Schizosaccharomyces pombe: one gene and its partners. The gene in region 1 interacts genetically with each later gene. Each region holds a gene or a part of one and is shown in the gene's direction. Other genes may lie near its edges.

Region 1 (7,768 bases):
TAGTATGAATATCTTTCCCTGCATTTTTTAAGTTTAAATTATGAAACCCCAAAATTTGTGAGGCAATCACGTCTGAAACTTCGTACCACTATTTGCAACAAAAGTAAAAAATGCAAAGATATCAATTGAAAACAACTCTGAGTACTTGCAAACACAATTTTTTAATTAGAAAGATTTCGTTGTGTAACTTTCAGCTAAAGATGAGTATTTTGTAAAAGTATTGACAACGATTTGGGTATATCAAAATTTAAAACAGTGACGACTCTAGTTGTACATATACGAAAGAAATTAAGCATATAAAATTGATTGTTCCTCTTAAGATAATCATGAAGTTGATATAAAAGATGGCTGAAGTAAGAGGAGATTCGTACCGACTTTTTGTTGTCTGTTCAAGACACGTTGTTAGTCAAGAACTCCATCTTTATAAGAAAGCAGTACAAAAAAATGAAATGCATATTCTTAAAAAAGAAATATAACAGTCGATGTTGAAGTCAAGAGCGGCAATCTTAGTTATGAGAAATTCAATGGTAAACCACGGTAGTGAATTGAATAGAAAGCTTGCGGCTTCAAGTACCAAAAAAAAACAGCATTGGTTAAATTGAAAAGCCAAAGTATAGATATCCTTAATAAACTAATAAAATAGACATTGAGTATTTTCTCATCTTAATAATTGCTAGATTGACTATACTAACTGTTTATCACATCGAATTTTTTTTTTTTTAATGAAAAAAAACTGGTTGCGGACGTTATACATAAAGAGTGTATAATGGTGAACAAGACTAAGTCTACATGTTCTACTACGTTGATTGTAAAGTAATGAAAAACGTGAAGTACATTAGTTGAAAATTAGTGAAGTAACTAAAAGCGAACGAATATGACCTTCCTTGCTTGCAAGTACCTCAAAGGTGGTTGATGTGTTATTTAAACCATTGATGAATGAATCTTCCTCGTGTACATTCTTTCGGTGTAAGTCTCAAAATGGGTTATAACATTATTACATTGCTACCGCATTTTTTGTGACATGAATAGATCAACTTCCAAATTACTGTTTCATTAGCGAAGCTCCTTTTTGTATTTTTACTTAACAGTAAATACTTACAGTGATCTGAGCAATTTATGGAGCCTTTCTTGCGGGCCACTTTGAGAGCCATGCAGCAAGTCAGCTAGACTAACAATTTAGGCCAAATGATTCGTACTTTTTAACGAATATCTTGAATCATGCTTAATTGCTTCATTTAACACCCTACCTAGGGATTTACTCAAAACGATTCATGTAAACAATACTTTACAATTCAATGCAAATAGTGTGTTGGAACGAAACCCAATTTAGCTTCTTAAATTATGCGCAGCGGTTTCCAGTAGTATATAAAAAGTCCAAGCTTATTTACAAAATTCGGGTATTAGGGTAATACAAAAATGAGCGTTATACAAAAGCAAAAGGACGGTCACAGGAATCCTAATCTGTCGAATACAATAATTTAGTTAAAATAAGAAGCTACTGAAGTTTCTATATTAACAGGCTCTTTTCTGTCTAACATCCAATAATAGTTCTAAACAAATTCTCGCTTAATAAGTTTTAGTTATATTAATCATAAAAAGGGAAATTGTGCTAATCTTTCATAATCGTGGTACCTTGTGACATAAATTTTCAGTCATAACCATTTAAAGATAGTCCTTGATTATCTTTTTTTTTAATATTCCTATTAGCAAGACTTCACCGTTCATTAACAATATAAAAGGAACTAAAATATCATGTCGGATATAGTTTATGCCAACGTGTCTCATTACAACAAAATAGAAGCATCGAAATATGACAATCCAAGTACCTTGGCGATTTCCAAAGTGATTTCTTCAAAAATTTTACAGTTTGAAGACAATTCCGAAACCAGCCTAAGACATGATCTCCCAAAATATGATCAAGATAGGCTGCTTTTAACTTCGGATGATGATTTGACAAATGTAAATAATTTTTGGAAGAAAAGTGGTATGAGTATATTGGATTTTGCTTGTGGAACTGGTTTAATTAGCCAACACCTGTTCCCTTACTGTAAACAAATTGTTGGCATAGACGTTTCCCAAGACATGGTGGACGTTTATAATGAAAAATTTAGAAAGATGAACATTCCCAAAGAAAGAGCCTGTGCATATGTTTTAAGTTTGGATGATTTGGATGGCAACGGCGATGAACCATTTTCTACTGAATTTGATGCTGTTGTATGCTCCATGGCATATCATCATATCAAGGACCTACAGGAAGTGACTAATAAGCTTTCTAAACTTTTAAAACCTAATGGTCGATTATTTGTCGCAGATTTAATAAAGGGGGGTGATACTTTTCATGGTAATTTGCATCCTGATGAAATAGCTAAGCTTGGCGTAGCTCATCATGGTGGATTTACTCCGCAATCAATTTTGAATTTATTCAAAAATGCATCTTTGTCAAACGCTGAAGTCATTGGTAAAGCTCAGGCAAATGTGTGGGTCGATGAAGCTAAGTATCAACGGTCAACCCAGTCAAAAGACGCTAAAACCTTAGATTTAGCTAACGGAGAGAAGCTGTATGAGGTAAAATTACAGCTGATGGTTATTAGTGGTATCAAAACATGATCCCCTTAATTTTTAATTAGGGATAAACAAATGAATGGTCTGGGTACCCGATTTTAGAAGGTGAAGCAATCAGACCAGGAATTGCTTCATTTAAACAAGTATTGATGTCCATTAAATTGATAGCTTATGATAACTTATAACACTGTGAGTCCCGGTGATTCATTTAAACGAAACTACATACTGAGCATTCAGAAAGGACTAAACTTCATTGAAACGACAATTTCGAATATGATCAACCAAATATTATGTGGGATTACAGGCTTTTTTTATACAATACTGGAAATTTCGTTATATGATTTTTCTTCATAAGTTGGTTTCAAAAGAACTGGCCAACTGTTGTCACAAAGATTTTAATATTAAGCGCAAATTTGAATAGACAACGGAAACTAGGCAATCTCTTCCACCAAATGTAAAAAAAAGTTCGACGTTTAAAATTTAACTGTTCAAAATACCCCTTTTAAATAAGTTACTATATGCATTTGAATACTGTAGACACATCTTTTATGATTCTATATAGACAAATATCGTAAGTTTATATTATGTAAATGAATTCGTGATATCGAACGTGTATACTCATTAAATTAGCGCATCTATTTTAACCTTTTATTATTCAAACTGCAGTTATGTTGTTTACCTATAGCATGTGTAGTATAGAGAGGATTTAATTTTGCACATTATGCTTGTTTATGCACTACATTTTGCATCCTTAAACACATGTCCTTTAGATGTCCGCTAACTGTTTACATTCCTATATGTTTAACCGCGATTTTTAAGTATTGGAAAATAAGAATATCTTGTTAAAAAGATTTATAATTATTACTTGCTTCCTTTTCCAGGACTAAAGAATTTCCTGTTTTTGGCACTAAACTTTTCAACAATATCTTCGCATTTCAAAATACAAATGTGGCAGTATTAAATTTATCCTGTTATTTGTTTTGGCTACTCATACAATAGAGAAGAAAATTTTATTGATCAGAGTTTTTTTAATTTCCTGAAAAGCTAGTTTTCTAGGGTTGGGTTGAAAAGTTTCAGTATTCGTGAGAAATTGACTATATCTAACAGGCGGGGGGTTTTTTTTATCATTGACTTTGGAGGTTTAAGATTAAGAGGAAACCAAGTTTAATTAATGCAAGTATGCATGATCCCTTCATTGCAGAAGAAAATGACTTGGACCTGGAAGAAAAGAGGTTACAGAGGCAGCTAAATGAAATTCAAGAAAAGAAGCGTCTACGAAGTGCTCAAAAGGAGGCTTCTTCGGAGAACGCTGAAGTTATTCAGGTTCCAAGATCTCCTCCTCAGCAAGTTCGTGTCCTTACAGTCAGCTCGCCTAGTAAACTAAAAAGTCCCAAGCGATTGATATTAGGAATCGATAAAGGAAAGACGGGGAAAGATGTTTCATTAGGAAAAGGGCCTCGAGGGCCTCTACCAAAACCATTTCACGAACGACTTGCAGAGGCAAGGAACCAAGAAAGGAAGAGGAGCGATAAATTGAAAACGATGAAAAAAAATAGAAAGCAATCGTTCCAGAGGAAGCGAAACATACTTGAAGATGGAAAAAGTGAAGAGGAGAAATTTCCTATGAAATGTGATGAAATCGATCCTTATTCAAGACAAGCCATTGTTATTCGATACATAAGTGATGAGGTTGCTAAGGAAAATATAGGGGGAAATCAAGTTTATCTCATTCACCAACTACTCAAACTAGTAAGAGCTCCTAAATTTGAAGCGCCAGAAGTTGACAACTATGTAGTTATGGGCATTGTTGCCAGTAATAGTGGAACCAGAGAAACTGTGAATGGGAATAAATATTGTATGCTAACACTGACTGACTTGAAATGGCAACTGGAGTGCTTCCTGTTTGGAAAGGCGTTTGAACGATACTGGAAGATCCAGAGTGGTACTGTCATTGCGCTTCTCAATCCTGAAGTACTAAAGCCAAAGAACCCAGACATTGGACGCTTTTCTCTGAAGCTGGATTCTGAGTACGATGTACTTTTAGAGATTGGTCGCTCCAAACACCTTGGCTATTGTTCCAGCCGAAGAAAAAGCGGTGAACTATGTAAACATTGGCTCGACAAGCGTGCCGGAGATGTATGTGAATATCACGTTGACCTCGCTGTCCAGCGGTCCATGTCTACGCGAACGGAGTTTGCTTCAAGTATGGCGACTATGCACGAGCCTCGCGCACGACGTGAAAAGCGATTTCGTGGACAAGGGTTCCAAGGATACTTTGCTGGGGAAAAGTATTCCGCAATTCCTAACGCAGTAGCTGGTTTGTATGATGCAGAAGACGCCGTTCAGACCGAGAGGGAGCGCAAGGAACGATACAAAAAACAACGAGCGCAGGCTGAACGCGAGCGTGAAATTTTGGTGCGATTATCGAAGCGATGTTGCGCTTCCTCTTCGTCTAGCTCTAACTCGAATAACCTCTCTACGGGAATGTCGATGCGAACACTCGGCCATCAGTATCTAAATTTACAAGGTTCCGGCGTTAAAAATTTACATGACAAGGGTAATCCCACTGCTCTTTCTAAAGATAGCGAAATTGATTCATCGACGAAAAAACCATCCGTTCTGGCCTCTTTTAATGCATCTATAATGAACCCTAAATCCTCTCTACCATCTTTTTCTAACTCTGCTATTCTCGGCACTAACGATGCGGCATCAGGGACACCCGTTCCACAAGATACTACATCCACCAAAGTTTCCCCAGCGGTAGTGTTTACCTCTTCGCCGAGGATTTTTTCCCCCCAAAGTCTACGAAAAATAGGTTTCGATCCAACGCATTCCGCAGATGCATCTACAACGCACTCCACAGCGACTGGACTTTCACGATCCGGCTCCCTAAAAAATATCAAATTCCGATATGAATTTACTGAGAGTGATGATGAGGATGACTTAGAAATAGTTCCCTGAATTTTACGTTGTTTTTCTATACATTATGATGAAAATTAATTATTTAAATTACTAACCAACTTACTAATTAATTAGCTAGCTAATGGATATAGCTATGATTTCAAATGAATGTTCTTTTGTTTACATGCGACACACTTTGCTATCATGAAACTTTCAACCCTTTGTTAAACCTTTCTTCTAAATCCTAATCCTTAGTAAATCCCAATGGAATATTTGAAACGCTTATTAAACACAGTCGCTCTTTTCATTTGTGATGTCAACTGTTTGAATTCAATGTGCGAAGTCTCCCTTTTTTGTTCTGCTAGCTTCTCTCTCATACAAGAACGGCCGTTACAGCTTTTGACATCACATTGTTTATTAATCAAACGAACGTAAGCTTACTTTCATATGGTATGATGGGCTTGTAAGCAATACTAAGATAGCCAGCCAAACTGAGGTACTGTCGACACCTTTAGCTTACGATTGCTTTCGTCTAGGTATCGGACTTTACACTGCTAGTCGCCTATTTTAACGTTGCGCCGTATGGAACGGGTATCGCATTCTTATCAGTAAGGAAAGCTATCTGAATTCGTCACAAAGGAAAAGGCAAATAAATAGTCTAAAACTATATAAATGCGGGCTTCCATCTAAGAGACCTCGCCATCCAACAATTGTTGCGTCCCACCTAAACAGTGTCTAATCAAAGTCAATTGCGAGACATTCTAAAGTAAAAAGTTAATACATTTTAGCTACTACTAAATACTTCTTTTGATATTCTTTTTAGTGAACAATAAAGAATATTGGTTTGATCAACACGGTCATCTTCAGAAAAAAAATTTTTTATTCGTTGGTTTAATTAGTTAAGAAAATTTTTTTTTTCTTTCTTCGCTGACGTCTCGATAATTAAATCTGCGAACGGTGATACTTCTATTCTACACATTTCTATTTAATCACTGTTATTTTCTTTTCTTTTTAATTTCATCAATAAACATTTTTGATTCATCGCTATGTTTTCTATTCTTAAACAAGGTGTCATCTCCAAGTCTCTTTTAGCCGCTACCTCTTTAAAGGCAACGGCTTCAAGATTTTCCTTCTCTACTAGTGTTGCTTCCCGTGTTGACGGTACTAAGAATGGTTGGTCTTTTACCGCATCCAATGTTGCTGATCAAACCACCGATATCGGCATTAACTCTGAGTCGGCTATGAGCTGTAACGACCAAGAGCAACCTCTTTCCTTTTACGTTCAAACTGTCAGAGATGACTTGAACTCTCCTAATTGGGGAGCTGAGCAAAGAAAGGGTGCATTTGATTGGGAAGTAAGCGCTTAAACCCGAATATTGTATACAAGAAGAAAACCCGATTTCCGTTATGATCAGAAGAAAATAATAAAAAGGGAAAACAAAAAATTGGAAAATTGAATGTTTTATCTTATTCGATAAAAGCATTAAACAATCTAACAATGCAATCTTTTTTAATTCGTTATTTTCGCTTTTCTTTTTTTTTTACTCTTCTTGATGTAATTGTTAAGACATGGATTTTATTTTTATTTTTCTAAGGAATTTCGATTATTGGAATTCTTTTACCACCCCCATCCCTCTTTTTATTACCAGTTTCAACACATTGGTTCCCCTGCTTTAGAATGTTTATCGATATAAGCCGTGAACGGTTCCTTGCTTTTACCATTTTTAAATGAGGCAAGACATATGTATTATTAGTTTATACCCCCAAGACTTGTTAGTCTTTATATTATTAGTTTGTCTACTTGTTGACTATAATGATAGTCGCTGATAAAGTTGAAGTTTCCACCTTAATCTTTGTTATTTTATATCCAATTCGCCATGGTCACATTGATTTGATTGAATTTTCGGTTGCTGGATTACAAAAAAGAAATGCCAAATGCGATACAACTGTTACATTTAGATTCAGAATAGGAAATTGTTTGTATAATTAAAAAATAGAAATTGTTTATTTTAATACATTACTACTGATTAATGAGTAGATGAATGGTGGAAGATTGTAAACAATTATGAAGACAAGGTCAGCATTGTCTTTCCGTCTAGCTAAGAAGCAACCCGATGTGCAATTTATAAAGTAGTGCGGTTTAGTGTTGATACGTTATCTTTTTGATAGTTTGATTAGTTATTTCGAAAACACGTTAAAAATGCAGTGAATTTTGTACAGTCTTCTTTACAATCCATTCAACAACAATTACGAGTACGAGCGGCTTTATGATGGGTCTAACCAAGATGTAAACATAACCATTATT
Region 2 (6,967 bases), 100 kb from region 1:
CACCAATTTGAAGCCGTTCCCCATCCTAACATTCGCCCAATGGCATATGCCAATGGACTGCTAAGTGGTATGTGATGGGAGACTGCAAGCACTGTTCTCAGTGTTTGCACCCACATTTTTTTAATTTTCTGGTTTTTGAAAAAATTTGTTCCACAGCTATATGATCCAGTTAAATTATTTTTTGAAGACTTGGTTGTTTGGGTTTTTATGAAGTTACCGTCGTTCAAAAAAATAATGCTATTTGTATGTTTAATCTTTAGCTTAAGGATTGGTTTCGATACCTGGATGGTTAGGAATTCCCAAATGTTAATTCCTGATTAGCTACTCTTTATTCCAAAAGTTCCATTTCACGTTCTTTGTACAATAAAAATATAAATAATGTTTAAGTTCATATGAACAATGAAGTAAATAAAACAATTGATCCTTTAATATCGCACTGATTTAAAATGCTGTCTTCTTATTATTATTACCCTCAAAATTCACTGCCATCATAAGTCATCAATGTGTCTTCTACTTTAAACACTGTACTTTATTTTCAAGTAACAGTTCAGTCCTTTACTTGTTTGTTTATTTTCTGTTCACAACTCATTTGCTTATATATATTTTTTTTCGTTAATGACAAGATCTCAATAATAGTCGAAAGGTAATTGCATCGAATTTTGGATATACGGGATTTTCATGTCAGCAGCTGATTCTAATATTTTCAACAGCTACTTGCATTTGACAGTAGATATTACATGTATATATAGACAGTTTTACCATCACGCTATTTCTTGTGGACTTGGTGAATTGCCATTCTCGATTAACTTGTGCATATACTATCCGATATCAGATTTAAGATAGCGAGGATCGACATGGAGAGTTAATACTTTAAACCATGACGTCATGCAATGTATGGTTGAGCTGTTTCAACACCAAAAATTTGTACTATCCATCAACAAGTCATACGCGTTGAAACGATCTTTACCCTTTGACATCCCTTCTTTTAGAGATATTCAATTTTTACCGTTTAAATAGTTTTCAATGGCATCTGAGCGCGATCCTCTTCTGCCAGTGCATGGCGAGGGTCCGGAGAGCCCTTCTCGTAGAAATTGGAAAACTTGGATAAAACATGGAATTCTGTTAATCCTTGTTTTATCAACCGTTATATTTTTTTATTTTTTCTCGTCTCATAAGTCCAAAGGGACCAATGAGAAACCAAAATTTGTTATTATGATGGTTTCTGACGGTAAGTGATTGGAGTAAGCTCTCTCATAAATCCGTTGCTCTTTTGAAGGAAAATGATTTTTTTTATATTTAGAGCACTGGGACGGAATCTTCCTTTTTTTTACAATATTTCTCGGTGACTGACTTTTTTTAAAGGAATGGGACCTGGCTCTTTGTCTATGACTAGATCGTTTGTAGAGACTCTAAACGATAAAGAGGGTTATAGGCTTCCCTTGGATGAGCATTTAATTGGCAGTTCACGGACACGTTCCAGTTCGAGTTTGATTACGGATAGTGCAGCCGGAGCAACCGCATTTTCTTGTGCTAATAAAACCTACAACGGAGCTGTTGGTGTTTTGGATAATGAAAAACCTTGTGGAACTATCTTAGAGGCTGCTAAAGAAGCCGGTTACTTAACCGGAATTGTTGTCACAAGCAGAGTTACCGACGCTACACCTGCCTCTTTCTCTGCTCATGCCGCGAATCGATTCATGCAAGATTTAATTGCTGAGTACCAAGTCGGGATGGGACCTTTGGGAAGGAGTGTTGACTTATTGTTCGGTGGTGGACTTTGTTCATTCTTACCTAAATCTACTTATCGATCATGTAGATCCGATAACTTGGATCTTTTGAAATATGCTAGGAAAAAAGAAGGTTTCCAAATTTTGCTTAATAGAACTGACTTTGATGAGCTATCAAACGCTCAATTGCCTTTGCTTGGTTTGTTTTCTGATTATCATCTCAGTTATGATATTGATTATCAGCCTGAAGTGCAACCTAAGCTTTCTGAAATGGTAGAGACGGCTTTGGATGTTTTGCTCAACGCCACTAATGAAGATACATCTAAAGGATTTTTTTTGCTCATAGAAGGGAGTAGAATTGACATGGCCTCTCACAACAATGACCCTATCGCTCATGTTTACGAAGTTATGGAATACAACAGGGCCTTTGAAATAGCAAGTGCATTTGTAGAAAAGAATGGAGGATCTTTAATCTCTACATCGGATCATGAAACTGGTGGTTTGACTGTTGGTCGCCAGGTCTCCAAAAAATATCCAGAGTATTTATGGAAGCCGCAAGTCCTATCTCTTGCTCTCCATTCTATTGAATATCTCGCTTCAGCTATCGTGAACCATAACCAAAATACGTTGCTTCCTTATATTGAACAGTTTGTTTTACCCGCAATTGGCATTCCTGACCCTAATCCAAAGCAGATTCATGACATATACGTGGCCCGGCATAATATATTTAATCTTATAAACGTGCTTAGTGATATTGTTAGTGTAGAAGCACAAATTGGCTGGACCACTCACGGCCATACTGCTGTCGATGTAAACGTTTATGGAGTAGGAGAGGTCACTGAACATCTTCGAGGAAATATGGAGAACATTGAAATTGGACAGTTTATGGAGATATACTTAAATGTTTCACTAAGCGATGTAACTGAAAAGCTCAAAGATGCTCCCATACATGGTGCCCCAGATCGACCTAGTTTAGTGGAAACTTCATTTTCCGATCGTCTTGTAGGTTTCGGTGCTGATTTGTTTTAAAGCCTTTTAATCAAGATTGCCATAAATATATAATTTAGAATACTCTCATATATGCTCAGCTTATTTAAATCGCTTAATTATGGCATTCAAATTCTTTTTAAGTTAAACCTATTTTACTTCTTATCTTTTACTTTATTTAATTTCCACTGTGGTTGAGATATCCAACAATTGCGATTTAAGAGCAAACGAATATTACAATTATACATACAACTTGTCGCAATAAAGATAGTTAACATATCCATAACGAAAATATTATAATAATATTATAATAACAAACACGTTAATATATCAAATATCACAAACATATCGGGATATCATCCATATCATCCACGACAGCCGCGATTACCTCCCTTACAACGATTTTTTCGTAAACTTGAGAGAATGCCTCCATTGAGGCGTCAAGCGTTGACTTTAGCTGAAAAAAAAGCAATTAGAAAACATTATTTTGAGTCAGCAACTAAACCTTCGCAACAAGAGCTTATTAGTTGGTTCGAGGAGCACTTTCATAAAAAGCTAGCACAATCTACCGTTTCGTCAATTCTATCATCAAAGAACGAATTTTTAGATAATCTAGACGCAGAAAACTCTCAAATAAGAAGAAACCGCCAAGGAAAATATCCTATCTTAGAAAACGCCCTTATTGACTGGCAAACGAGGTTGCAAAAACAAGACGGAGCAATTACTGGAAACGCCATCAAAAAAAGCGCCGCAGAATTGTGGAGACGTATACCGGAGTACTCTGAGCTTCCGATTCCAGAATTTAGTAACGGTTGGTTAGAGAAGTTCAAAAAGCGTTGTTTAAAACACGGCCTTAAGTTACAGGGTGAATCTACTTCAGTAAATCAAGGAACGTATGAGGAAAACATGGTTCAAATACAGGAATTAATAAGTCTTTTTGATCCAAAAGACATCTTTAATATGGATGAGACGGGGCTATGCTGGAAACTTATTCCCAATCAATCTCCTGCGAGTGAACGAGTAAAAGGAATTACGAGAGATAAGGCTCGTGTCACCGTCACTATTTGTTGTAATGCTACAGGTTCTGAAAAGGCCCCTCTTTGGGTGATTGGATATGCTAAAAGTCCAAGGGCCTTTCGGCAAGCAAATGCTCATCCTGATTCCATGGATTTTCATTGGCGATATAATGGAACCGCTAGGATGACCACTTCCATTATGGAAGAATGGCTTCGTTGGTTTGACGATTTGATGAAGGGTAGGAAAGTTCTACTTATACTGGATAAGTTTGTCGCTCATGAATGCGCTTTGGAAAATATTCGCAATTCCGAGCGAAAGTTGGTAAACACGACTGTTGTTTTCCTTCCTGTAAATTCTACAGAAATTTACCATCCTTGTGGCCAAGAGATAGTCTACGCTTTTAAATCATACTACAGAAAATACTGGCTTAATTACATGCTTGAGGAGATTCGATTGGGAAAGAACCCCAGTAAGACAATGAATGTACTAAAAGCAGTTAGATGGATGATTCGTTCTTGGAACGTTGACTTTGAACCATCTATAATATACAATTGTTTCCTTCGTTCTGGGCTTTTTCAAAATCAGCAACCACTGACCGGTCCTTCTCCAGAAACCATTAGAATCGCGGTGAATTTGCAAGAATTGATAGGAAAATACCTTGGTGATAAGGATATTTTCCAAATCGAAAATTTTATTAACCCTATTGAAGAAAATTCTGCTGACACTAATGACGATATCGTTAACCAAGTTGCTGCTCAATTTCTTGATGAACGAGAGTTTGAAACCGATGAAGAAGAGGAAGAGTCACAGTATTTGTTATCAACAAAGGATGCGATAAATGCCATCAATACTTTACTAAACTTTCAAGAGCAATCGGAAGATGGAAATGTTTTGTTTACTCGAACATTACTTCAGTTTCAAAAGGTTTTAGAAAGCAGATCGATTGTGTAAAGGTTGTGGGAATTGGAAAATTTGTTTCTAACGAAAATGTACACATTTTCTATACTTTTAAATAATTTTTATAGAATATAAGAAAGATAAATAATTACAGTGAATTCTTAAAGGTTAACTACTAGACGTACTATTTCAATTAATGTGAGATTCGCGCTAAAAGCGTTTATAAACTCAATAAGATATATTGATAAAATAATAAAGTGAAGAATCAATTGTTTAAATTACGAAATTGAATTGGGACAAATTTTTTGTTTTGCGAAAAATAAGCATAGCGCAATGCATTAATCAACACAGTATGACTGTCTGTACTTGTCAACTCCAAACGCCATTATTCAGCATTGCAATTGAAATTGGACGTTGTGAGAAACAATTGAATGGATTTTTTTGAAGATAATAATCCATTCTCTGGCTCTGACAACAGAAGCGCCTCTTCTGCTGTCAATGTAGAGCCAAAAGTTGAGCCATCACAGCACCAGGGCTCTTCATCTGTCAAAGAGAATGCGATTAGCCAACCGAATGAGAGTTTTCAAAGTAGAAACATGTTTTTTCAAAAGGACGTAGATAGTGTTGTTGATTCAGCCCTCGATCCAAACGGAATTGTAATTACTGGAGCTATGAAGGCTGAGAGTGGATCACACATAGTATATATAATCAAACTTCAAGTAAGTTAAGGAAATTGGTTGATAATGTATTAAGTCGAACTATTCATTGTAGAATCCTTGCTTCATTCTTCTCTTTTGTTTGGAAGTATTGAAATGTTTGATTACTAACGGTTTTTAGGACTCAGAAATACACCATCGATATTCAGAATTTGCTTCTTTGCGCGTACAACTTAGCCGCCTGTATCCTACTTGCTTGGTTCCTCCATTACCTGATAAACATAAAATCATGGATTACTTGATAAACGTCACCAAAAACCAACGAATGTCTCGTATGCTCGAAGAAAGAAAGAGATTATTACAATTATTTTTGAGAAGGGTAGCACAACACCCTATTCTGGGCCTTTCAGAAGTTTTTCGAAAATTTCTTAGTCGACATGTATCTTGGAAGGAAGTATTGCATAGTCCTCCTATTAGTTGTCTCCCAAAGGATTTATTGAAAGCCCCACCAGCTGATCCTTCTTCTAAAGAGAATGCTGAGTTATACAAGGAGCTGCCTATTCCCTCTAAAACCCTTGTACCTCGTGACAATTATGACGATGTTGGGAAAAATTTTCTTATGCTTGAAGATACGCTACAGCAGTATTCAATAGTAGCACAAGAGGAATCCAATTTATTTAATCAAATTGTTTTATCAAACTCTAAGTATTGCCTCGCACACTCTACTTTGGGGGCAATGTTTAACGCTCTTTCGTTATCCGAGTCGGGAAAGCTTTTGACAGCACTGGAAAAGGTTGGACAAGCAAATGATCACACATGTCTTGCTAGTATTGACTTTATGCACAACTTTGTAATCGCGGTAATAGAACCGCTTCAGGAGCTTTCAAAAGACGCCAAAAATATGCGTCACATTTTTATCTTTAGAAAGATGAAGTTTATTCAACAGGTAATGGTCGAAGAGCTTCTCACAAGAAAAAAGAGCTTTCTTCATCTTTTGGAGCGCAGGGAGAGACATGCTGCTCGTCTACAACAGGCTATTGGTGAGGTAGATGGGGACGTAATACTCAATAGGGAATCGGAAGCTACTTTGGGTGTAAATAACGCTCAAACTTCTCGTTCAACTATTCCCGAAGAAGATCCCCTATTTAATGATGAAGAATCAAAAGAGCCGTCGGTTCCCTTGATGGGAACCGATCAGCCCTTGGAAAACTATCATGATGGAAATGGAGAGCAAACGGAAGAGTGTTTGCGGGATTTACGGCACAATCAAAGTCAAGATTTTGAAACAGTATCACAAGATACCTCTTTGACGTCAGTTACTGTTTTACCGCGCACGATTCGTGATGTATTTGATAGAATACGTTTTGTATTGAATGGTCTAACTGATAATAATGTGGAAGTATCGCGACACAACAACATCGGTAGGACCGCAGAAAGCGTTACCCATCTTACGGACATGCTCTTGATTACCACTAAGGATGTCGCATTTGTAACTGACAGAGTAAACTTTGAGTTCCAGCGCTACCAAGACACGCATCGTCAGGATTTAAACAGAATTTTAAACCGTTTGACCGATAGTCATATAGATTGGGCCAACCGGAACTTGCGAATCTGGAATTCCGTACAAGAATCATTGAAAACATATGTATCATAATTTATTGGTCCTAGATTTGGTTGGGTTTC
Region 3 (8,068 bases), 2.9 Mb from region 1:
TAAAGGGTGGCCAGCGATAGTCAAATGCGTCCAAAGATGCTAAAATGGCAGCTATTGTAACATCATGTGCGCCATAGAGGGCCAAACGATGATAGGGTGAACCATTCTTTTCAGCGACCACGAAGTTCTCCATTCTCATGCTTAAATCATTTAACAAGCTTCCAGCACCTAATTGACGCATCAACTTAGAAACCTTATAACCGCCAAACCATTCTTCTACAACAGCAGTTTCGGCATCGCGTAACCATTGTTCATCTCTTAGGTTGGGATTGAAGTCGACATGGCTACCAATGGCAGCGTTAATAGTATCAAGCAAACCACTGAGACGAGGATGGCTTGAAACAACTCTAACAGGCTGACCATTCATGAATTGACTCATCATTTCAGAGGCACGGCCTGCAAGTAAGGGATCGTAAAGCTTAGCAGCTCGTTCTGCAAATTCTTCATATAGTTGCACAAGTCGAGGACAGTTGTTTTCATTAGGAAGTAGGTTTTCGTCTGACCAATTTCTCGTAAAAATGACAGGTAAACCCATCTTACGCTTTGACTCAGGATACAATCCGGAAAAAACATGTTCTAAAGACTCCAAGGCTCGCACCATTGGAGTCGCACGCATATAAACATCAGCGTAGTTATTCAATTCATCAGGTAAGAATTTCAATTGTTTGACATAACGTTCTCGAAGATACTCACCAAGTGTTCTGGTAGTAACACGCCCAAAATCAGTCAATTCACCATGAATGCAAACACCACTTGGGGAATTGTCTGAAGTTGGTGCTGCAAGAGACGTGTCAACTGGTGACTCAACCTTCCTTTCAAAACCCAACACAGACCATTCCTTTTCCCCTTTAATTTGCGCAAAAAACCTCCTTGCATTATTACAAAGCTTCCAATCCTTAGGGATACCGGCGGAACCAAGTCTTTCCTTCACGGGAGCACGTTCACCATGTCGAAATATGACTTGTAAATATTTCAGTTGCAGCTGTTTTGGATAATCGACTCCGGGAACTGAATCCGGGAATTTAACAGAAGCTGAAGACATTTGAGACATGGCGGCTAGGAAGTGGTTGATGATGCTGGATAAGAGCTGCTGTCAACTAAGGTCTCAATGCTTGAACATCATCGCAAAGCTCATATAAAATATGAATTACTGAATATTAACGAAACGACACTATTTGAAAATTAGTTTTGTTTATGAAAAGAAAACAATAAAATATAAAGTTAATTCAATCTTAAAAAACTGTTAGGAAAAAATTAAAATGAAAGTCATTATGAGATATAACAAAAAAAAAATACCCAGACAGGGTTTCTCTTTAGCTTTCTCAATCAAAAATAAAAGATAAAAGACGCAACCACCAAAACTATAGATAGGTTTAAAAATTTTAATGAGTGCAGTTAAAATAGGAGAGACAAGAAAGCTAGAAGTTCAATATATTAATTATTGTTCAAATATACATACAAATTTGTCATCATCATTAAAATCATGTATACCAACAAGCCCCAGTAAGCCTCTCAAATTAACCATCTCTGTTAAGAAAATCAATTAAACCATTTTTGATAGAGAAATGATTACGTTTAACCATAAGCACATAGAAAATATCTCTGGTTTCACCAGTATAAACAGCGTTTCACAAAAAGCATCACCAGATTAAGTATAACCTACATGTTTTGACGTTAAATTATACGCCAAAAAAGAAGGGAATTCAAAAAAGTTATTAACGCTACCGTAAATTTTTACTGATTCGAGATCGCTCCAAGAAAAAATTTGATATATCTTCCTTGGTGACAACCCTATTTTCACGAGCAAATGGAGTGAGGAAGTCCGTTAGCTCAGATTTTAAGCGATTATACGCATAAACGCTTTCGTTAGCTTGTACACGAGGAAGTCTGTCCAAAATACGAAGGACATCATTCATTGTGCTAGATATGACTTGCTCAATCATTTCTCCAGATTCACTGGGATCCTCATTCATCTCACTGATTCCATCCTCAGAATCCTCAGGAGGTTCGTAAATAGGTTCTTCTGCCACCAACATTGGCATCTCCAAATTACGCAAACTGATGCAAGATTCACAAGGGCACAAATTTTCCCTAAAGTTTTCTGAAAGAAATAGAGGCGCTCGTTCTGTACCAGCTATGCTTTCATGCTTCTGGTTTAAAAGATGATCGCGGTATTTTTCTGAACATTCTGAACACACCAACCATTCAAAAGTCTCAGCATCTGGGATTGCAATTCCTTTATTAGTTTTCTGCAGACACTTTTCGTGAAACCAATCTTCGCAAAGGATGCATTGAAACATAGTTCCTTCCTCTGTCTCTGGATTATACACCGTATCACATATGCAAAATCGCCCTTCGAAATTATGATTATAATCATTTTCTGAGCCACATTCATCAACGGATTTCCGTAAATTACAAGGTATGGAGTGGGTTCTTGTGGTGCCACAATCACATCGAAAATGTCGTTTATTGAATAGGTCCACAAGATCATGGTCAGCATGGCAGCTAATACTGCAGCTATAGCAAACAGCATTTAAGCTTCCGCTAGCTTTTTGACATGTCAAACAAGCGTATAAAGGTTGCTTCAAATAGCCCATCGAATAAGTGCACGTGTCAAAGCTGTAAGGCAAAACTTCTCGTGCCTCCCTTTCAAGCTCCCTTTGCTGTTCAACATATTGCTTAACCGTTAATTCATGAGCCGTTTCCTCCATAAGTTATTAAATGCAACTAAACGTTGGCAAATAGACGGCGTAAACAATTGCGAAGAATGTCTTTTGAATAATTCAAAACACTAACTCATTACGCTCCTCTATTTCATTTACAGGTATCACTACATTTTCCAATACAATTTAACAATATACTGTAGCATTTCTTATTCTTTCATCCTGCAATACTCTAGCTATTCAATGCATTAAAATAGTTAGAAACAACATCTTTAAAGTATTTGAGTCCAAAGATGGATTCTTTTCGGAAAAGGGGTCGCCGCGATTCTGAAAGTTTACCTTTTGAATCAGAAAATTCTTCTCTCGGTGCTACACCTCTTTCTTTACCTCCTTCTTCACCTCCTCCAGAATTCTCTGATGAAGCTGCAGAAGCTCTCGTGGAGGAGGATATTGAGGATCTGGACGGAGAAGCTTTAGATGTAGAGGATGAAGAAGGTGAAGATTTGTTCGGAGAAGGAATGGAACGGTAAGTTTTATAGCTATGCTTGAGACGTGTCTTGTCAATGTTGTGTATACTAAGTGTTGCCATCAATATATAAATTACATACTATTTCTTCTCCTTCTTGTAAATAAATATATTTATTGGATTCCTAGGTTGCGGTTATATTGACAGAACAAATCTTGATTTTCAAAAGAGTAGTTTCACATTTCGCGTCAAATAAGGTACTTTTTTCTAACTGTATAGTGATTATCAACAAAATTTGGAGCTAGATCGTTATGACATTGAAGAACTAGATGACGATAACGATCTTGAAGAATTAGATATCGGGGCCCGAAGAGCTGTTGATGCCAGGTTGAGACGACGTGATATTGAGCTCGATGCTGCTGCAGGTAGAACAAAACCTGCTGCATTTTTACAAGATGAAGATGATGATTTGGACTCCAATCTTGGCACAGGCTTCACTCGTCATCGACATCGAATTTACGACGAATATTCACCTAATGTTGGCGCATTGGACGAATCTGGTGAACTTCCTCTTGAATCAATTGCCGACGTAAAGGCCGATAGTATTGCCGAATGGGTTACTCTTGATCCTGTTCGGCGTACAATTGCTCGAGAATTCAAAAATTTCCTTCTTGAATATACAGATGAAAATGGCACCTCTGTATACGGTAACCGTATTCGCACATTGGGTGAGGTTAATGCTGAGTCGTTGATGGTTAATTATGCCCATCTTGGTGAATCTAAACCCATTTTGGCTTATTTCTTGGCCAATGCGCCTGCACCTATTTTTCGCATATTTGATCGTGTTGCTTTGGAAGCCACTCTTTTGCATTATCCAGACTATGAAAGAATACACTCTGATATTCATGTTCGTATCACTAATCTTCCTACTTGTTTTACTTTACGCGATCTACGACAATCCCATCTTAATTGCCTTGTACGGGTATCTGGTGTCGTAACTAGGCGCACTGGGCTTTTTCCACAATTAAAATACATTCGGTTTACATGTACCAAATGTGGTGCTACTTTGGGTCCATTTTTTCAAGACTCTAGCGTTGAAGTAAAAATTTCTTTCTGTCACAACTGTTCCAGCCGTGGTCCGTTTGTAATCAACTCTGAACGGACTGTATATAATAACTATCAAAGGATCACTTTACAAGAATCACCTGGCACCGTCCCCTCAGGTAGACTGCCTCGACACCGTGAAGTTATTCTTTTAGCGGACTTGGTTGATGTTGCCAAACCAGGCGAAGAGATTGATGTTACTGGCATATACCGCAATAACTTCGATGCTAGTCTGAATACCAAAAACGGGTTTCCTGTCTTCGCTACAATTATAGAAGCAAATCACATATCGCAACTTGACGGCAGTGGTAATACTGATGATGATTTCTCTTTAAGTCGGCTTACTGATGATGAGGAAAGGGAAATTCGGGCATTAGCAAAGTCGCCTGATATTCACAACAGAATTATTGCATCGATGGCGCCTTCTATTTATGGACATCGCTCTATCAAAACTGCTATTGCTGCTGCTTTATTCGGTGGTGTCCCCAAAAATATTAACGGTAAGCATAAAATTAGAGGTGATATCAATGTTTTATTGTTGGGAGATCCAGGAACCGCCAAATCTCAATTTCTTAAGTATGTTGAAAAAACGGCACATAGGGCTGTCTTCGCCACAGGTCAGGGTGCCAGTGCTGTTGGTCTAACTGCATCCGTCCGTAAAGACCCCATTACGAATGAATGGACTTTGGAAGGGGGTGCTTTGGTTTTAGCAGATAAAGGTGTTTGTTTGATTGACGAGTTCGATAAAATGAATGATCAGGATCGTACTTCTATTCACGAAGCCATGGAACAACAAAGTATTTCTATTTCTAAGGCGGGTATTGTGACTACCTTGCAGGCGAGGTGCACTATTATTGCTGCCGCTAATCCCATCGGTGGACGTTATAACACTACAATTCCTTTTAATCAAAATGTTGAGCTGACCGAACCTATTTTATCTCGTTTTGACATCCTTCAGGTCGTCAAAGACACGGTTAATCCTGAAATTGATGAACAGCTAGCTAATTTTGTTGTATCAAGTCATATTCGATCTCATCCTGCATTTGATCCGAATATGGATGTCTTGAAGAAAGTCCCTACTGAGACTGGTATTGATGCCAAACCCATTCCCCAAGATCTTCTTCGTAAATATATCCATTTCGCTCGTGAAAAAGTTTTTCCTCGATTACAGCAAATGGATGAAGAAAAGATTTCGAGACTTTATAGCGATATGAGACGCGAGTCACTGGCTACTGGAAGTTATCCTATTACTGTGCGTCATCTGGAGTCTGCTATCCGTTTAAGTGAAGCATTTGCAAAAATGCAGCTCAGTGAGTTTGTGCGCCCTTCACATATAGACAAAGCCATTCAAGTGATTATTGATTCCTTTGTGAATGCCCAAAAAATGAGTGTTAAACGAAGTTTGTCAAGAACATTTGCTAAATATCTTATTTAATTTTTTGACACAATCAGTTTATGGAGTCCAGTGATTTTGATTTCCCCGTTCTTTGACCCTCCTTTTGTTACTGCATCTGTTGCATATATCTATCCTTTAATAATTTGCAATCAAAATTTGCTTTACATTTTTATACCTATCTTTACATTCATTCTTTCTTAGTTTTCAAAATGTCAATCTAAATTATTTAGGTTAATAACACTTGTTTTGAATATCATTATTGACTATTCGCTATAGATACTAGGTGTATAGATACTTTCTCCGCTGTATCAATATTATTAGCTGTTTCATTAAAGAGCCACTGCCCATGTGAAATGACATTTTTTGAAACAGCTGAGGTTTTTTACATATAGAGCTAAATTGTCCATTTCCAAATTTAAAGGGAAGTCAACTTTTGACAATCGGAAATGCATCCAGTTCATATCTGATGTTCCTGAAGAATCTCAAATTTCACACTTTATTATCTAAAATTATTTATATCGTGTTACTCTTTCAAATCAGTCTTTTTATTTGGTATATATTTTGCCCTACCCTTACCTACTTATATTCGTACATCCACCAAGTAAACTTGACACAAAAACAAAATGGCCTATCCCGGGCAGTTTGGAAATTACGGTAATCCTGAGACTTATAGGCAAAATGTTGCTGGCAATATTGCTTCATATGGGGGCCCTGAAATTGACACTCAGTTAGCTGCTCAAATGAACGCACAAATGTATATACAGCAAGGTAGTGCAATGGCTCCACAACCCCGACGCGCTAGAAGACATAAAGATGCCCATGCATATGATATGTCATTGACAGATGCTGAACCAGCTTTGGCTCCTGTCATGTCGCCTGCTATCCCGCCTTCCATGAATTATCCTACGCCAAGTACACCCTCAGTACTTCCAGAATCTTTTTCTAATGATACAAATCTCCTCGATCCTGCAGCATTACCTTCGGCTCCTGAAGTTCGCTATGAAGATCAGCAATTGTTTAAAAACCAAATATTCAATACCATGGAAAAGGGTTCTCCACCTATGTCCACTACAGATTTTGTTGGGTATGAACAAGGAAATTCATCTTCCAAATTCGTTCAGTTTACCAGTTACGCGATTCCAGCTACCAATGATGTTTGCAATGCTTCCGGAATCCCCTTGGGAATGATTGTTCAACCGTTCGCAGAGTTACGTCCTGATGAAGCACCCGTACCCGTTGTAGATAACACAAATTCAAATCCCCCACGTTGCAAAAAATGTCGTGGCTACATCAATCCTTTTATCCAATTCACGATGGCAAGTAGTAAATGGACTTGCAATCTTTGCGGTTCAGAAAATAGTTTTAATGATGATGGTTTTAATCCTTTAGTCGGTAGTCAGCATGATGGAGTGGAGTCTCGTCCAGAATTAAATGTTGGCACTATTGATTTTAAAGTGGGGAAGGACTATTGGATAAAGGAGGATCCGCCAAAGCCGGCTCGCTTTGTTTTTATGATTGATGTTTCCTATGAAGCTTCCTCCAAAGGACTTCCCAAGGTTGCAGCTGAAGCTATTCGGAATATTCTCTACGGACCGGTACCTCTTGATCCTAATGTCAAAATTGCTATTGTCTGCTTTGATCGAAGCGTTAATTTCTTCAATTTATCTCCTAATTTAGAGCAACCCCATATGTTAGCTGCTTCTGATTTAGAGAATCCCTTTGTTCCATTTTCTTCCGGTCTTTTTGTTGATCCCATTGCTTCAAAAGTTGTCATTGAGAGATTGCTGGACAGTTTCCCTGCAATTTTTCAAGATGTTAAAATTCCCGAACCAGTCGTTGGCAATGCACTGGAAGTAGTAAAACTCCTTCTTAAGGAAACAGGTGGAAAAGCTTTTGTTTTTGTTAGTGCTCTTCCTACGATGGGATTGGGGAAATTAAGGCATCGTGAAGATCAAAGATTATATGGGACTTCTGATGAAAAGAATCTTTGGAACACCCAAGACAAGTGGTATACATCTCTTGCCGATGAATATGTTACTGCTGGTATAGGTGTTGATATTTTCTTTACTGCTACTGCTTATGTTGATGTTGCTACTGTTGGAAGTGTTGCGACCTTAAGTGGTGGGCAGATTTACCACTATAGTAATTTTGTTGCTGATCGTGATGGATCTCGACTTAAACAAGATTTATTTAGAAGTGTTACCAGAGAGCAAGGCTATCGAGTGATGTTGAAGACACGATGCTCAAATGGTCTGCGTGTCTCCAAATATTTAGGCAACTTCTTGCAACGAACTCCACAAGATATCGAATTTGGCAGTCTTGATGCTGATAAAAGTGTAACAGTTCTGTTTTCCTATGATGGAAAATTAAATGGAGCTTTGGACGCTCACTTTCAAACTGCGGTTTTATATACCACTCCTTCTGGTGAGAGAAGAGTAA
Region 4 (7,339 bases), on another chromosome or scaffold:
TATATCCTAGGGTCAATACTACTAGTTATGATGTCCCAAGTTTCGTTGGCCAGCATTCATTTTTGGATAGCTTTATGGTCCGGAAACTCTTTATTTTCACTTAAGCTTCCTTCTTCTTTTTCTTTCTTATGGGGCTATGCTATACTTTTGTTTATATACTTTCTTATGGATTTATCGCGTGCAATTACTTTTGCCAAAGGTGGTAGAACGGCAAGTGAAAATATCCATGATATTTTAAGTGAACGAGTTTTATATAGTCCGTTACATTGGTTTGAGAAAACGGCTGCTGGGAGGATATTGAATAGATTTTCTAAAGATATGTACGCCACGGATAATCTGTTATGGGCCTCTTTGGAAGGCATGTTGTTGTGTGTAATGGCTATATTAATAACTATGCTAAACGTTACTTTGGTGATGCCAATATTTATGGTGCCGGCTGCTTTTGTTAGCTTATTGGTTTATCTTCATGGATATGCGTACTCAAAGGCACAAAAACAGCTTACCAGCCTACAATCCTCGAGAACCTCACCTGTTTTCACTATGCTGGGAGAGACTTTAGGAGGGATTACAGTTATCCGTGCTTTTAAAAAGGAGAAGATTTTTGAACATGAAAATATGGCTTTTATTGACGATATGATTCAACCATTGTATATATCATTTGCTATTAACAGATGGCTGGCAATACGTACGGATGGGATAAGTGGCCTAGTAGGGTTTTCAACTGGTCTTATTGCTTTGTTAAGACAAAACATACCACCTGGACTCGTCGGATTCTCTTTAAATAGTGCCATTGGTTTTAACATCTCTGTACTCGTTTTTGTTAGGGCTAACAACGAAATTTTGACATACATAAACAACTTTCGCCGATTATATGAATATATGCTTTTACCAAGTGAAAAGAACGAAAGTTCTTGTTTGACGAAACCTATGAATAAAGAATGGCCTACTTTGGGGCATGTCAGCATCAAAAATCTTACAGTCTCTTATTCAATTGGCCAAGCGGCGGTTTTGGAAGACATCAACTTGGAAATACTTCCCAAAGAGAAAATTGCTATTGTTGGGCGAACAGGAAGTGGTAAAAGTACAATGGGTTTAACTTTACTTCGCTTTACGATGATCATGTCAGGTGCGGTTGAAGTAGATGGCATTGATATCAACTCTCTAGATTTGGAAGTCCTTCGTCAACGTATTAGTTTAATTCCACAGGATCCTGTGCTAATATCCGGTACGGTCCGAAGCAATCTTGATCCTTTTGAGGAGTATGGAGACGGAGAACTAAATGAAATACTTAAGACTGCTTCCTGTGAATCTTTAGTGCAAGCTTCAAACAAAAATTCTCTTGACGCTTTTGCGATACATCTTGACACACCGGTTGATTCAGGAGGTGTCAATTTTTCTTCCGGCCAAAGGCAAATTCTAGCCCTTGCACGGGCGTTAGTCCGAAAATCTCGTATTGTTATTTTGGATGAGAGCACAGCGTCGGTAGATGATACTACTGATCGAAGAATTCAGCAAATGCTTCGTGCAGCATTTAAACATGCTACCGTTTTGTGCATTGCCCATCGAATTAAAACAATTGTAGATTATGATAAAGTCTTAGTATTGGATTCTGGTAAAACGGTGGAATTCGGATCCCCCAAGTCACTATATACTCAACGACGGGCGTTTTGGAAAATGTGCAAGGAAAGTCATATTAGTCTTTGAATATTTTTTGCTGACTTTCAATACATTCCATTTGTAGAGCAGCTTTAAACTGATCGTGAGCACCCATCATTTTCTTTTTTTCTTTTTTTTTTAGAGCATACTAGAAACATTTAAACGAGATCGAGCAGAAATCGGTAATAACAAGCCAAACTCTATAAACAAATGATTTAACATTTTCGCTGTAAATAAATTGTCATTACTGAATACCTAAGTAAGGCTAGCATATAATAAGTTTATATTTAATATGCATTTCAAAACTGAAATGCGAAAGAGTATCGACTAACTTCAGCACTTTAAACGGAAAGAGTGCCCGCAAGCTGTTCATTATAACGTAACCCGTAGATTGGGTATTTACTCAAGACCTCTTTGGCCTCTTTAAATTGTTCAGGAGACAAAGATTTATTCAGTGCATTGAGATTGCTCTTTGTACGAGAAACAGATGTGGAGCCAGGAATAGGAATGACCAGACCGTTTCCAGACGCCATTATAAAAAGAAGTGAAAACTCGGGCATAGTCATACCAAACTTTTTAGCAAGTTGCTCGACAGCTTGGAGGAATGGAAGATTTTTAGCAAAAACATCAGGGCTAAATCTGTCCAAATATTCTAAGAATGGGAAAGATTTAGCAAATTCTTTAAGGTCTTCGACAGTCTTAATGCGACCAGTCAAAAGGCCACGACAGAAAGGAGAGTATGCAATAATAGGGATAGATAACTTCCTACAAATATCCATAATACCGTTTGTCTCGATATCACGAGAAAACAAGGAGTATTCGACTTCGACTGCAGCAATGGGGACCACAGCGTGAGCACGTTTGATAGTTTCAGCAGAAACTTCGCTAAGGCCGACACATGAAATCTTTCCAGAGTCCACAAACCCCTTCAATGTCTTCATGGTTGTCTCAATGGGAACATTTGGGTCGACTCGAGCACATTGGAAGAGATCTAGCTTTTTGGTCCCACGTAAATGAGCTATCACATTTTCAACACTCTTTGACACGAAGTCCGGATTTCCATCAGGAACTAGTGTTTTAAAATCCAAACCACCTTTGACAGATAAAAACACCTTATTAGCGTTTTCGGGATATTTTTCAAAATATCTAGCTAATAAATCTAAATTAGAGGTGGGAGGGTCGACACCATAAAATTCACCCGCATCCCAATAATTGGAGCCTTGGGATAAGGCATAATTCATTACTTCAAAGGCTTCTTCATCTGGAGTTTGCTTGGGCTTCCAGGTTAAACCCATAAGACCAAAGCCAATAGGTCCGACTTTAAATCCGCTAACGATAGGCATCTTTTCACAACTTTAATTTAAAAATGCTTAACTCTGTAAATATCAAATGTGTATTCTCAATTTTAAGCGAATAATATTGGAAAAACTAAGCTGCTAGGTATGCAAAGCTTGCTATTTATATGATAACGGTACCGTATGCTGTAAGAATTTCCTAATGGTTCTTTGAGACGATGCTTACTAATTAGTTCTACTGTTAATAATAATGAATCAAACGTAAGTAACACCTACTCTTCGTACCGTAACTAGCTTAAACAGCTTTGTTCTTTATTTTTGGCTTTGCTTTTATAAATTTACTTCTACATTTTTAAACATTGGATCACACGTGTAACATACATTATTGAAATAGACTTGATAGTAAGTATTATGAATTGAACTATGAATGGAAATATTGGAATTAAAAGTAATTACACCAAAACTGAGAACTTACATATTATGTTATTTGAAAATTCGAGAATTTATTAAATGAAAGAGAAGGGAAAATGCTCATGAACTTCAGAATCGCCATTTTTGTTACAATACCAAGGAACATTTATTTATTTACACATTTTTGTTTAATAGTGAGAAGAGGTGTGCTACAGAAATGAAATTTGAGGAAGTATTCAATTAGACTCTCATTTAAAACATATATGAGAATTGATTTTAAACGGTTTCTAACAGCGTTCATGTCGTTCTTTCTCCTATTTTTTGCTCTTGAATTCTCTTTTTCTTACTGACAAAATCGTTAAGATACGCAAATTTGCTATATTAACCTGAACGTCATAATTTGAGCATCTCCAATGGCATTGTTATTACAGATTAACAATAGGTTCGGTATATTGCACTTAGATTATATAGGGTGCAAGGCAGAAGGATGCACTAGTAGTACTCACCTTCTTAAACCCTACAAGGATAGAATTCGTCTTTTCACCGTTATTTCCGATATCTACTACAACATAAAATAATTGTATAAATCCAAGGCTATACTCTTATATCGGTCTGGAAAAGTATCGGCATAGTAAGTATTAAGGAAAATCAATGCCTCCTATACGCCAGGCCGTCTCTTTAGCAGAGAAAAAGGCAATTCGAGATTATTATAACCAATCTGCCCATAGAATTCCTCAAAAGGAAGTGACAGAATGGTTTCGAAAAACGTACAATAAAGATTTATCGCAGTCAACGATTTCCGAAATTCTTTCACCCAAATACAGTTATTTAGATGATGGAAGTGTAAGACTCGGTGATATTAAAAAAATTCGAGCTCCAAAGTTTCCTTTGCTTGACAATGCCGTGTACGAATGGTTGCAACAAAGAGAAGTTGAAGGCCTTCCTATATCAGGGGATATGATCAAACAAGCTGCTACTCGATTTTGGTCGAAAATTCCGGCGTATGCTTCTCTCCCATTACCAGACTTTAGCAATGGTTGGTTGGATAAATTTAGAAGAAGACATTATATCCAGCAAAGTGCGGTAAATCAGGCATTGGAATCCATCAAATTTGAGGTGTTTAGAGAATACCCAGTTCATATTCAAGAGTTTATACGGCCTTATGCCCAAAAAGATATATTTTGCGTTGGAGGGACAAGCCTTTTTTGGAAACTCACTCCTAATAAACAAAACTTGGATTATCAGGAAATCCAGGGAATGAAGCGTGGAAAAGCCAAAGTGTCTTTAATTATGTGTTGCAATGCCGATGGGTCAGAACGACTACCTTTATGGATCGTGGGTTATGCACAAAACCCAAGATCTTTTGAGCAGTGCGGTATTTTCCCTAAAAGTATGAACTTCGAATGGAAGTGGAATGGCCGAGCTTCAATTTCACCAATTATTATGGAGGAATGGCTTCGGTGGTTTGACACACGTATGCAAGGACGCAAGGTCCTATTGATGTTAGAGAGCAATGACACATATCAGTTCGGTGTTGAAAGTGTTCGACGGTTTAAAGGTGGTTTTCAGAACACCTCTGTATTTCGAATTCCAGAAAAAACATTGGACATTAAGTCTCCGTTTGAACAAGGAATAGTCGATACATTTAAAGCGAATTATCGAAGATACTGGTTGCAATACTCCCTTAATCAAATCAACATATTGAGAGATCCTCTAAAAGCCGTTAATGTTTTAAAAGCCATTCGGTGGATGCTTTGGTCTTGGAATTTTGGGGTGAGTGAAAAGACTATTCAAGCATCTTTTCTCCGATCAGGATTATTGGGTCCACATTCCGAGGCCGAAGGACAAGGAATGGAGTCGTATCAAAAGGCCATTATGGAAATTGGTAATCTGATTTCAAGCAAGGGCAGCGAAGCTGTTAAGCAAATTAATGAATACATTAGACCTTCTGAAGAAGATGAAACCAAATTACATCAAGATGCTGTGGATACCGTTGCTGCAGAGTTTCTGGAGGAGAGACGCTTTGAGTCGGATGAGGAAGAAGACGTGGAGCCTCAAATATCAAACGTGGAGGCTGCCATGGCCTTTGAAGTCTTAATAAAATATTTTGAGCAACACGAAAATGGGGATCCCTCGTTTGTTTTAGATTTGTACCGCAGACAAAGAGTGATTGCCCCTAATAATTTAATAGCGTGATCCACTTACGGAAATAAATTGAGAGCGAGTCTTACTAAACCCAATAAGTGCTTCACGTTGGATGATTTCAATCTCCAAAGCAAACAAATTTCCAAAAAAAAAATATAGTGAAACAAAAGTCGACACTCGTACAAAATTACTTTTTTTAATTGAGATTAATGTTTCTGCTTACTTTTGGTTAACTATGGCGGGCGGCTTTGAACCCTTCTCGTTTAATATTCTTTTAAATTCACTTAGTGTGTGTACATATACCTGAACAACAAAACATTTTATAGGATTCTAATGATATTATGAATTATTAATGATTTTTTTTGTATAAACTGTGTCACATTGTGTTTTCCTTTGTTGTATGCAAGACAGAGATATAGAGAAGCAGTGAGAACAATTAATAAATAAAAATCAGTTAGCGCGCAAATGAAAAATAAAGCATTAAGCAATGATGCTTTAATAATTTAATTTAATTTAATTTAATTTAAATGCTATAGATGATGAATGATCATATGGTTTTGTGAGTGAGATGCTGTTTGAGTTGTTGCGCTGGTAAACCACTATTGGAAATGCTAGAAAAATGGGTAGGGGTTTTGATATGACTTTAAGTCCGAATCTGAAAACCGAACCATTAATTTTAATAGCTAGGTAAAAAAGCCACACACAATCAGAGATTTTACCAAAACAAGACATAAAAAAATCACATTATGGATATGAGGCAACTGGAGTGTGGAATTTAAGGAAATATGTTTATATAATTATGAGTTTTCATTGAGCTACAAAACAGAAGATATATTTCATTGAATAATTTCTGTAGTGATGACCCACTTTAAAAAAAAAAAAATTTGAAAGTAGAGTAAACAAAATGGAATATGCCATTTTTAAAATACACACTAGAATGATCCACACTAGCTATGGTGATCTTAAAGTATATATACATATCTTCTTAAATCTTGAAAGTTTTGCTTATCAGATCTTTAACGCGCTCCAGTACGAAAAAATGGCATGCTTAAAACAACAATACAATAATGTGATGAGTAATAATATGGGTTATTAAAAAAGTAAATTGGAGAAACAAAAAAATTAAAACATTGGAAGAGTGTATAGTTCTCACGGTTTTGCGTTTTATGTGTTTGAATTTACAAATTTCAGTGATCTTCGCTATCTTGACAAGTTGCACAATGGAAATTGGCACTGCGACCATGAGTAAAATAGTTTGAATTTCATTTCCAAATTTAGTTGCGATGTTTGCGAACAAATTACTGAGTGATTTGAATGTAGAGCAAAGATGATTAGTTAGAAGAAACAGATAGAGGGAAAAAAGAGAAGAGTTAATAATTGAAATAAAATAAAAATAAAAAAAGGGAAATAAGAAAGCAAAAAAAAAAATTTTATTAGCTCTTGAAAATGTGGATGAAGCACTTCCAAATAGTAAAATTTGATTAGGTAAACAAACCGAAAAGAATAAAATGAATGCCACCGAAAAAAAAAATGTATGCAAAAAAAAGAACAACAAATGGAAACGAAAAAGATTTTCTAAAGCAATATCAAGAAAAATTTTTTAATTCATTCTAGTCTTCCTTAATCAGCGTCGCATTTCGCATATTCAATACTTTCTTTCATTTTCCTTTGTTGCATGCTTTATACCATAGCAGGTTATGCACTAATCACATGGACTATAAACGAAGACAAATGTCCGAAGGTGGTCAAAGTGCGAACCGCTTAACGAACCTTAACACAACAGTGTCAAGAGAAAGCTTCGCATGTTGAAAATTTTAAAAAGACGCAGAAAG

What was found.
Region 2: mutations in cdc23 (region 1) and cbh2 impair growth when combined (synthetic growth defect), as found in Schizosaccharomyces pombe (one study listed by BioGRID).
Region 3: mutations in cdc23 (region 1) and mcm2 impair growth when combined (synthetic growth defect), as found in Schizosaccharomyces pombe (one study listed by BioGRID).
Region 4: mutations in cdc23 (region 1) and cbh1 impair growth when combined (synthetic growth defect), as found in Schizosaccharomyces pombe (one study listed by BioGRID).

The regions. Positions count from the first base shown.
Region 1 is NC_003423.3:4,075,698-4,083,465, forward strand, and holds cdc23 (MCM-associated protein Mcm10), read left to right. Parts: upstream 1-3,359; 5' UTR 3,360-3,741; coding exon 3,742-5,523; 3' UTR 5,524-5,867; downstream 5,868-7,768. Other genes in the region: rnh202 (ribonuclease H2 complex subunit), read right to left, coding at 1-24; SPOM_SPBC1347.09 (hexaprenyldihydroxybenzoate methyltransferase), read left to right, coding at 1,753-2,607; protein sro1, read left to right, coding at 6,510-6,830; SPOM_SPBC1347.14C (uncharacterized protein), read right to left, coding at 6,582-6,947. UniProt on the Schizosaccharomyces pombe protein: Required for DNA synthesis. Required for entry into or completion of S phase. Involved in DNA replication and seems to participate in the activation of the pre-replication complex (pre-RC) and in transcription elongation.
Region 2 is NC_003423.3:4,178,581-4,185,547, reverse strand, and holds cbh2 (CENP-B protein 2), read left to right. Parts: upstream 1-3,109; 5' UTR 3,110-3,137; coding exon 3,138-4,682; 3' UTR 4,683-4,811; downstream 4,812-6,967. Other genes in the region: SPOM_SPBC3F6.01C (serine/threonine protein phosphatase), read left to right, coding at 1-75; pho8 (alkaline phosphatase), read left to right, coding at 1,024-1,228, 1,363-2,756; sorting nexin Snx41, read left to right, coding at 5,060-5,347, 5,466-6,938. UniProt on the Schizosaccharomyces pombe protein: Binds to the central core and core-associated repeat regions of centromeric heterochromatin.
Region 3 is NC_003423.3:1,188,997-1,197,064, reverse strand, and holds mcm2 (MCM complex subunit Mcm2), read left to right. Parts: upstream 1-2,922; 5' UTR 2,923-2,956; coding exon 2,957-3,189; exon of another isoform or gene 3,190-3,408; coding exon 3,409-5,668; 3' UTR 5,669-5,857; downstream 5,858-8,068. Other genes in the region: SPOM_SPBC4.06 (acid phosphatase), read right to left, coding at 1-1,051; ubiquitin protein ligase E3 component mlo2, read right to left, coding at 1,722-2,711; COPII-coated vesicle-associated protein Sfb3, read left to right, coding at 6,253-8,068. UniProt on the Schizosaccharomyces pombe protein: Acts as a component of the mcm2-7 complex (mcm complex) which is the putative replicative helicase essential for 'once per cell cycle' DNA replication initiation and elongation in eukaryotic cells.
Region 4 is NC_003424.3:4,457,444-4,464,782, reverse strand, and holds cbh1 (CENP-B protein 1), read left to right. Parts: upstream 1-3,904; 5' UTR 3,905-4,013; coding exon 4,014-5,558; 3' UTR 5,559-5,863; downstream 5,864-7,339. Other genes in the region: abc1 (ABC transmembrane transporter Abc1/Ybt1), read left to right, coding at 1-1,704; pyridoxal reductase Plr1, read right to left, coding at 1,998-2,999. UniProt on the Schizosaccharomyces pombe protein: Binds to centromeric K-type repeat DNA and ARS3002 DNA. The CBH-binding consensus sequence is Py-Pu-A-T-A-T-Py-Pu-T-A.